Linked DNA regions of Mus musculus. The protein of the gene in region 1 binds, or shares a complex with, the protein of each later gene. Links are inferred from orthologs where the notes say so. Each region holds a gene or a part of one and is shown in the gene's direction. Other genes may lie near its edges.

Region 1 (2,985 bases):
CACCCCTGAATCCTCACCAGCAGATGTGCGGTACACAGTGTCTGAGTCTTCTCTGATGGAGCTGGTAGAGATCCCCATTTAGACACTGAGAAGAGCTGCCTTACAGGAGTGAATCCAGGCTGCTGGAGACTAAAAGGAGGCTCTGGCCCATCTGGTGCTCTTCACAGCCTGCTCACATCCAAACGTGCCTGGCAGCCCATTGCCAAGTGCTGGTCAGAAGGAACATGCTGTTACCGATTGCTAGCCTAGCCGTCCCCAACAGGCTGCACACCAGCGATATAAATATTAACAGCCCTGTTGTCGGTCACAGGCTTCGCATCACTGCTAGCCTCAAGACACAGCTGAGAACTTCACATTGCCCTTTGATCTTAGAGTGTCTATTTATGTCTGCCTCCATACTTGAAAAGTCTTGTTCTTACTTCTGACCTTGTTCCTCATCTAAGTGCTTTGATCCTGAGGACGTGGACCTCTTTTTACCCCAGGGTAGCAGGCACCCACTCATTCATGTTCAGTATAAAGTCAGCGGATTTGTAGAACGTGAGGATTTGTATCCAGGAAGTCCACCAGTGCTTCAGTGTTGAAGACAGAGTCATGTGGCCTGTTGTGCCACCATGCTCACTGTCTGCAGTGCTAGGTTTAGATCCAAGGCCTTATGCACACTTTGCAAACTTTACTGGCTATATCCCAGCCCTCCTCCAGCACTCTAAAACTGGAGAGCCAGCGTATGCATGTTTGCTGTTTCCTCTGTACCCTCAAAGCCTGCGTTTCTGTGGATAACTGGTGTTCAGGCTACAGGGTACATAATCACTCAGAGGAGCAGAGGTATAGCATCTCTTCAGGAAGTTCTCCTCGACACCCATGGAGCCTTCCACGCTGAAGAAATCATCTGGAGCTGTAGAGATGGCCAACGGGGCCCTTGGTCTGAGTCCCTGCACCAACAGGATGCCTCACAACTGTCTTTAATTACACTTACAGAGGATCCAGCGCCCTCTGCTGGCTTTTAGATTTTCAGCCAGCAGGCATGCACTGTAGTGGAGACATACTTAAAACTTAAATCTAGCTGGGCGTGGTGGCGCACGCCTTTAGTCCCAGCACTCAGGAGGCAGAGGCAGGCGGATTTCTGAGTTCGAGGCCAGCCTGGTCTACAGAGTGAGTTCCAAGACAGCCAGGGCTACACAGGGAAACACTGTCTCGAAAAACAAACAGAAAAAAAAACCTTAAATCTAAAAACTTGTGGAGTTTATTTCTGTTTTACTTTTGGGAGAGAAAAAACCTGGAAGCCATTATTGAAAGTAACTGATAATCACCAGGAGACAAACCATCTCCCCATATTATTCACTTGGGGAGAAACGGGGAAGAGCTCAAGATGCCAACCACCTTAGCTCAGCATAAATGGAGCTCCTGGCTGTGGTGCCCCAGGTCACAGCATCACCTGTGGCATGGTCTCACCCAGTATGCCTAATTTCACTCTTACCAACAATTGAGGTGGTAAATGTAAAGACTAGAGAGAAATGGGAGAGAGTGCACACAGCATAAGGAGAGGGGAAGGAAGCCTCCATGGTGGTGTGCCACACCTGCAGTGTCCACAAATGAAAACCAAGGTGGATGGAGAAGGAGAGCTGGGGGGTAGGAGGGGGTGTTTGTTTATTATTCTGGGTTTCAAACCCAGAACCTCAGTAATGTTTTTAAAATGTGCCATAGGCATTCAATGCGTACATGGAGGGAAGGGGTTACATGCAGAAGCAGACACCTTAAAGGATGCTTTGTGTGGATGTGAAAGGTGCTTGGAACTTGCACAGTGGTGGCACTGATGTCATGTGTTTTCCTCTTTTCTGGTGTGACAGCTGTCGACCTACTGGAGAAGATGCTCGTTTTGGACTCAGATAAGAGGATCACAGCAGCCCAAGCTCTTGCGCATGCCTACTTTGCTCAGTACCACGACCCTGATGATGAGCCTGTTGCTGACCCTTATGACCAGTCCTTTGAAAGCAGGGACCTTCTCATAGATGAGTGGAAGAGTGAGTCCAGGGCAGGCTAGCGTGGGCTTTGAGCTTGCTTTCATTTTATTCATGTTTTGTTTGTTTTCTGAGCCAGGGTTTTTCTCTGTGTAGCCACTCAGAGGAACTCACTTTGTAGATCAGGCTAGCCTTAAACTCAGAGATCCATCTGTCTGTGCCTTCCGAGTGCTGAGATTAAAAGCATGTGCTACCAAGTCCCGTTTATGTAATATTTTTTAACAGTGCTGGAGATTGGACCTAGGACTCACACATATTTCCAACATACCTATGATCCCAGCACTTGGGAATCAGATTAAAAGTTTAAGGTTAAAAAAAAAAACAGACTGAAGCCGGGCATTGGTGACGCACGCCTTTAATTCCAGCACTGGGGAGGCAGAGGCAGGTAGATTTATGAGTTCGAGACCAGCCTGGTCTACAGAGTGAGTTCCAGGATAGCCAGGGCTACATAGAGAAACCCTGTCTCAAAACAAACAAACAAACAAAAAAAAACCAGGCTGTAAAGTTATTCACAGCTGTGTAGGTAGTTTGAGGCTATCCTGGGCTACATGAGAACCTGTCTGAATAAAACCCTCGTGGATGGTTGCCAGCAGCTTTCTGAGCTCACTGCCAGGGTCTCTGATGCGTATGTTCCCTGATGGGCTGCAGACACAGAGTGCAGAGCCTTCAAACTGACAGAGCTTTGAGGTGCTTGGCGGTTTTACGTTTACAGCATCTTTTCAGGATAAAGAGGGTCTGGCGTATTTCAGCACAGAACTAGGACAGGAGTTTTTTATAGCTTACTTTTGGCCTAGTTAGGGACTGCCAGGAATGGAGCCACATCTCCACCCCCAGTCATACTCCTTCATAAAGCACAAGGTCAGTTCTGCAGTTAGGACTGCCTCGTTGTGTGCAGAGTGCAGTGCTGCTCCAGGGAGCACTCAGAAGGAGCACCGTGCATGATGGAGTGGGGAGACAGTTCTGTCTGTGT
Region 2 (2,734 bases), on another chromosome or scaffold:
CACTTGCAGTGATCCCCCTGCCTCTGCCTCTTGAGTGTTGGGGTACAAGTATGTACCACCACACTTGGCTGATCCTTCAGTATGGGTTTGTTTTTGTTTCTCTCCCTTTTGGTCTTCACAGTAGAAGCATCTACTAGGTTCTAGAATATACCAGACAGGGCAGGCAGTTCCTACAAAATGCCCTGCATGTGGCACGGGTGTTTTATCCAGGGAAAAAGGCATAGCCACAGCCTCTACCCTGCGTTTCTTAGCAGTCCTGAGTAACCTTGTACCCGTGAGTTATGTAATTCCGGCGACAACCCACTTAGAGGTGTGGAAGCCGGTAGGGAGAGCACAAGGTCCCACACCTTTTCTAATCAGTGCGTTCCAGAAGGATTGTCCTGAACAGCTTGGAAAGCTCAGGTTGCAATTGACTGGCAGAGACTCCCTTCTCTTGCTGGGCTAGTGATCTCTAAGTCTCCTACACAGCCCCCTCCCACCTCACCTCCCACCCCCGATCACCCTGATTCCTCATCACGTCCTCCCTCCACACCCCAGGAGATTGCCGCGATGATTGACACCGAGTTTGCCAAGCAGACCTCCCTGGATGCGGTTGCCCAGGCTGTGGTAGACCGTGTAAAGCGGATCCACAGTGACACCTTTGCCAGTGGTGGGGAGCGTGCCAAGTTCTGCCCACGGCATGAAGACATGACCCTGCTGGTGAGGAACTTTGGCTATCCATTGGGTGAAATGAGCCAGCCTACACCGACCCCTGCCCCAGGTATGTATGCCACGTAGGTACACCTGAGATGAGTCCTGGGCTGGAGGCAACACGGACGGGCTGATACCATGAAGTTGGCTGCTTGGAGTGCGTATGGAGCCAGGGGGCTGGCCTTGCTCAACTCCAGCTGTAGAGTTCTGGACTCTGAGCTGCAGGTCTTTACTCTGTCTGTAAAATAAGGAGCACTTGTCCTGACCATCCTGGAAGTCTTGCTGCATGAGCATATCATGTACAGTCACAAAGGCAGATGGCAGAGGTCCCTCCTAGCCTCCTTGTCACTTCTCACCCTTACCAGCAACCTTGACAGAAAGGAGAAAGGCTCTAGCCTGGAGAGACCTGGGTGAGGTCAGGTATGAGACAGATGGTCTGCCCCAGCCGGGCATTGTGTGGAGATACTTCACTCCATCCCTTTTTCCTTTTAAGTCCTTGAGTCAAGCTGCCTGGGCAGCAGTGAGACCTTCTGTACTGCTCCCAAGCGCTGCATTTCCTTTTCTGTTTTTAAACAAACAAACTGTGGAGCTCTCACCTCCCATTGCTCTCCATGGACACTGGGGAGCTGGAGTCCCTCTGGCCTGCACTTGTAACCGTATTTTCATTGGGCCTGCCTCAACAGGAAACAGTCTACCCTCTGTATTAAGGTTTAGTAGCCCTTTCTCAGAGCCCATCCAGCACTTTATTCCACTCCCACCTTGATCCCCAGTGGGTTTCTTTGCTGGATAGAGGTCCCACTGCTATTCTGGAAGATACTCGTACCAAGGGACATCTACCCTGGGCCACCCCAGGGGTGGAGGGCCACAGTGGGGCTTAGGGGCCTCTCAGCCCTCACATAGCCCTTGTCACTCAAGAGAAGCCTTGAGGCCACTACCTTGGTTTCCTCCGACTGATTCCCCTCCCCCCCTGCTCTCTCTCTCTCTCCTATTGCAGGGGGCCGTGTGTACCCTGTTTCTGTGCCCTACTCAAGTGCCCAGAGCACCAGCAAGACTAGTGTGACTCTGTCCCTCGTCATGCCTTCTCAGGGCCAGATGGTCAACGGCTCTCACAGTGCCTCCACTCTGGACGAAGCCACTCCCACACTCACTAAGTAAGCCATCCTACTCTAGAGACAGACATGGGAACCTGGAGAGAAACAGCTGGGCAACCAAATCCTAGGGCTCAGTGGGGCAGGATGAGAGAGGCTGGGGTCTGGGGACTCTGGATCTTTGGCCTCCAATTCTCCACCCTCACCTTTTGGGTAGGGAGTCTTATTAGACACAGGTTCTAGCAGGTATTGAACTGGACCTGGGACAAGTGGAGATTCAGGGCAAGGTGGACAGGGGACCCGAGAAAGAAGCAAGGCAGCTGACTGACGTCTCAGCTTTCATCCATGGGCAGCTTCTCTCGTGTTTTTCTTCTGTCTTGGAGTTTGTAACCCAGGGCCACTGGCTTCATGCATCTGTAGTTGGGGACATTGCCTGGCCTGTACTGGGTTGTCAGAGCTGCTGCTCTCTCACTGTGGCATGCCATGGCTGTCAGCTGTCTAGTGTAAGGGGCACTGGGGGTGGAGGTCATGGCCTGAGAGGAGGGGCATGGTGCAGACCTGCCTGACAGGTCTCTTGTCCAACCGCTCCCTGTACTTCTGTGACTTTGTACTTTGCTCCCACCCCACCTCTCCGGGGGAGGGGGGGATCTGGTTTCCACATTCCAGCCCTGCACCGATGGAATAATACAGCTGCCACACCCAGCCCCTCTCCACTTAGAGCTTAGCCGGATGTGGCCAATTAGAAGGGCTGGCAGGGAGGGAGTGCCCCTGTTTTCCTCTGCCTCTCCCTCTGCCTCTTTAGAGGGCCTCCATCTGTCCCCAAGTCTGTGCTGCTGCTGTTCCTGCCACCACCTCTGTGGATGGAAGGGCCTGGTAGACATCTGGGCATCCTGGGTAGCCGTGTGCTGTCCCCAGCACAATCAGCATAGCCCTCCCTCCCCACCAGGCTTCCCCAG
Region 3 (3,703 bases), on another chromosome or scaffold:
TGCTCTTCAACCTTCTCCAGGGGAACCTGCTGAAGAATGCCTGCAAGGTGCTGACCAGCCGTCCGGATGCTGTGTCAGCGCTCCTCAGGAAGTTCGTTCGCACAGAGTTGCAACTGAAGGGCTTCTCTGAAGAGGGCATCCAACTGTACCTGAGAAAGCACCACCGGGAACCTGGGGTGGCAGACCGCCTCATCCAGCTGATCCAAGCCACCTCAGCCCTGCATGGTTTGTGCCACCTCCCTGTCTTCTCTTGGATGGTGTCCAGATGCCACCGGGAACTTCTGCTGCAGAACAGGGGCTTCCCAACAACCAGCACGGACATGTACCTCCTGATCCTGCAGCATTTCCTGCTGCATGCCTCCCCTCCGGACTCCTCCCCACTCGGTCTGGGACCTGGACTCCTCCAAAGCCGGCTCTCCACCCTCCTGCACCTTGGCCACCTGGCTCTCCGGGGCCTGGCCATGAGCTGCTATGTGTTCTCAGCCCAGCAGCTCCAGGCAGCTCAGGTTGACTCTGATGATATTTCTCTTGGTTTCCTGGTACGTGCCCAAAGTAGTGTGCCCGGGAGCAAGGCGCCCCTGGAGTTCCTGCACATTACCTTCCAGTGCTTTTTTGCCGCTTTCTACTTGGCTGTCAGTGCTGACACATCGGTGGCCTCTCTCAAGCACCTTTTCAGCTGTGGCCGGCTGGGCAGCTCACTGCTGGGAAGGCTGCTGCCCAACCTGTGTATCCAGGGCTCCAGAGTCAAGAAGGGCAGCGAAGCAGCCCTGCTGCAGAAGGCTGAGCCACACAACCTGCAAATCACAGCAGCCTTCCTAGCAGGTCTGTTGTCCCAGCAGCATCGGGACCTGTTGGCTGCATGCCAGGTCTCCGAGAGGGTACTGCTCCAGCGTCAGGCACGTGCCCGCTCGTGTCTGGCCCACAGCCTCCGCGAGCACTTCCATTCCATCCCGCCTGCCGTGCCCGGTGAGACCAAGAGCATGCATGCTATGCCGGGCTTCATTTGGCTCATCCGTAGCCTGTACGAGATGCAGGAGGAGCAGTTGGCCCAGGAGGCTGTCCGTCGCTTGGACATCGGGCACCTGAAGTTGACATTTTGCAGAGTGGGCCCTGCAGAGTGTGCTGCACTGGCCTTTGTACTGCAACATCTCCAGCGGCCTGTGGCCCTACAGCTGGATTACAACTCTGTGGGAGATGTTGGAGTGGAACAGCTGCGACCGTGCCTTGGGGTCTGCACAGCTCTGTAGTGAGTGTGACAAGGTCTTGCCGATTGGGCCTGTGGCAAATGCTACTGTCAAGGCTGGACGTAGAAGCATAGAACACTGTTGGGACCCAGAAGTCTGGGTCCTATTCCACCTCTGCCACCCTTCATACAACACCAGCCAGACCCTTCCCTCTTCTGGGCCTTAGTTTCAGAACAAATAACTATAGCTATTGTCTTAGTTTGTTTTCCTTTGCTGTGATAGAATATTTTGACCAGAAGCAGCTTGAGGAGGAAAAAGTTTATTTTATTTCGCAGGGTACAGTCCATCATGAATGGAAGCAGGAGCGTAAAGAAGAAACAGTGGAGGGGTTCTGTTTACTGCCTTGCTTCTTCTGGCTTGCTCAGCTAGCTTTTTAGTACACACCAGGCCCACCTGTCTAGAGATGGTATCACAGTGGGCTGGGCCCTCTTCCATCAATGAACAATCAAGGAAATGACCCATAGACAAGCCCACGGGCCAGTCTGATGGAAGCAATTCCTCAATTAAGACTCCCTTGTCCCAGGTGTGTCAAGTTGACAACCAAGATTAGGCATCGCAGCCAGACTTGAAGTTTTGTGTTAGGCACTGTGCTATACTTTCTGAAATAACCCCATCCATCCCCACAACCATGCTGGGCTCAGCAGGGCTCTTAGCACCCCACGATTCTTTCCTTGAGGCTCACAGAAGTCAAGTAACTTGTCAGAATCATATGGGCAACAAGGGTGGTTTTCACAAAGCATGCCTTTCTGGTTTCAAGTCTCCTGTCTCTGGATGCGTTTCCACTGCTCTGGGGAATCCTTGAGGTCCCACACAAAGTTTTGTGTCTGTATTAAGGACCACTTCAAACCAGAAATAGTTTGAGCCCCATTTGAGTCTTTAAAATTTCATCATTATGGGACTTCCGTCACTTGAGATAAATCAGTTGGAGAACTTCCCATCACCCACATTGCTTTCTGTTCCATGGCTAAAAACATGAGGCTCTGCTCCTTGGAACATCTGTGGGCCTCTTTCCATGTCTGGGGTTGGGCAAAGGCAGAGAGTATACTCAGATCTGGTGACCAGCATGCCCCTCCCACAACCTCCCTTCTCACTTGTCAGTAAACAGGGTGGCCTGCTATTTATTTAGAGCCTATCAGAAAGAGGAAGTTGTACATTACAGTTAAGATCTAGAAACAGCCTCCTGGGGCTTTGGCTCTCCTTGCAGATAACCTTAATTGAACTTAACAAAAGGCAAGATTCCTGTCCGTATTAGGTGACTTATCTGCTCTAAGGTAAAGCCACAACACAGACACCTTTGTGCAACTGTGTGTTGACTTACCCTTGTACAGGGATGTGGTTGCAAGTTTATAACATAATATGGTGTGTTGTATATGCAGTTAATGTGTAGCTCTGTTGCACACAATAACTGTATAATAGAAATATGAATAGCTCCATCAGGGTCTTGAGGTAACAGATGCAGCCCTTAAGTTGGGAAATAGGGGGAAAGTCTATGGAAGGGACTGCAGAGTTGTGGGTGGGAATTAGGAAGGGCTCTAGGGAAAAGCCTGAAGCGAGAGAGGATTTGCTGGCTGAGAGGAAGACCCAGGGAGGAGCTTTAGGAAGGGATGCATCTGAGGTAAGAAGGCGCTTTTCCTCTGCCCCTTGCCTTTCCAGTGCTGTGCCTTCAGCTGGCTGAGCCTACCTGAGGTCACCTTAGGGTATCTGCCTCCTAGCACCTAGAGCCAAGAGAAGAGCATGAATTTGGCTAGGAAAATTAATGAACATGATCTGTACCATGCACCATGTCTCTGGGAACAGAGCTGCATGGGACCTTAATTGGGAACTTGGAGCCCTGGGTGTTGAAGCTGCTCTCCTGGCTAGTGGGCCAAGCCTTTTTTTTTTCAAGACACAGTTTCTCTGTATAGCCCTGGCTGTCCTGGAACTCACTCTGTAGACCAGGCTGGCCTTGAACTCAGAAATTCGCCTGCCTCTGCCTCCCAAGTGCTGGGATTAAAGGCATGCGCCACCACGCCTGGCAGGGCCACTCCTTTTAAACCACAACCTCAGAAGACCATATATACTGGCCTGGATGACCCTCAGAGCAAGTCATCTCTGGATTTTTATTTTTAAGTGGGGCTTCAGCTAACTCACACTGATCTCAAACTTAAGATCTTTCTGCCTCCCCCCATTCGTACCAGAGTTACAGATACAGTATACCAAGCTCAGCACCCATCCATCCCTGGAATTTTTAAATGGTCCTTTTTTTTTAATGATTAAGAACGTTCATATGATTCTGTGACATGATGGGACCAGAGGTCTGGGAGGCTGTGGGCCTGTCTGTTTTCAGAAAAAGGGAGTCCTGGCCTGGTGTCATGAAAAGTCGCTTGTTGAATTGGAGGTTCCTGGGCTGCAGTAATTCCTGTTCAGTAGGCTTGGGTGGGAAGGGGGTGCCTGGGGGAATTGGGGAAGTTGGGGAGGGT

The links. Proteins that work in one complex are often made in the same cells at the same time.
Region 2: the proteins of Mapk14 (region 1) and Tab1 are in contact, whole or in part, in a crystal structure (PDB 4LOP), measured with the Mus musculus proteins. Residues at the interface, in NP_036081.1 of Mus musculus: Gly110, Ala111, Asn115, Ile116, Cys119, Gln120, Lys121, Leu122, Thr123, Asp124, Asp125, His126, Phe129, Val158, Asn159, Glu160, Asp161, Cys162, Leu217, Thr218, Gly219, Arg220, Thr221, Leu222, Asn272, Val273, Phe274, Ile275, Gly276, Ala277; in NP_079885.2 of Mus musculus: Val385 (codon at 1,693), Tyr386 (codon at 1,696), Pro387 (codon at 1,699), Val388 (codon at 1,702), Ser389 (codon at 1,705), Val390 (codon at 1,708), Pro391 (codon at 1,711), Tyr392 (codon at 1,714), Leu405 (codon at 1,753), Ser406 (codon at 1,756), Leu407 (codon at 1,759), Val408 (codon at 1,762), Met409 (codon at 1,765), Pro410 (codon at 1,768).
Region 3: Mapk14 (region 1) and Nod2 share a complex: the UniProt entries of both Homo sapiens proteins name them as parts of the signaling complex. The link is inferred for Mus musculus from reciprocal best matches to the Homo sapiens genes MAPK14 and NOD2.

The regions. Positions count from the first base shown.
Region 1 is NC_000083.6:28,743,139-28,746,123, forward strand, and holds part of Mapk14 (mitogen-activated protein kinase 14), read left to right. Parts: intron 1-1,844; coding exon 1,845-2,018; intron 2,019-2,985. UniProt on the Homo sapiens protein: Serine/threonine kinase which acts as an essential component of the MAP kinase signal transduction pathway.
Region 2 is NC_000081.6:80,157,067-80,159,800, forward strand, and holds part of Tab1 (TGF-beta-activated kinase 1 and MAP3K7-binding protein 1), read left to right. Parts: intron 1-537; coding exon 538-760; intron 761-1,684; coding exon 1,685-1,841; intron 1,842-2,734. UniProt on the Homo sapiens protein: Key adapter protein that plays an essential role in JNK and NF-kappa-B activation and proinflammatory cytokines production in response to stimulation with TLRs and cytokines.
Region 3 is NC_000074.6:88,664,268-88,667,970, forward strand, and holds part of Nod2 (nucleotide-binding oligomerization domain-containing protein 2), read left to right. Parts: coding exon 1-1,246; intron 1,247-3,703. UniProt on the Homo sapiens protein: Pattern recognition receptor (PRR) that detects bacterial peptidoglycan fragments and other danger signals and plays an important role in gastrointestinal immunity.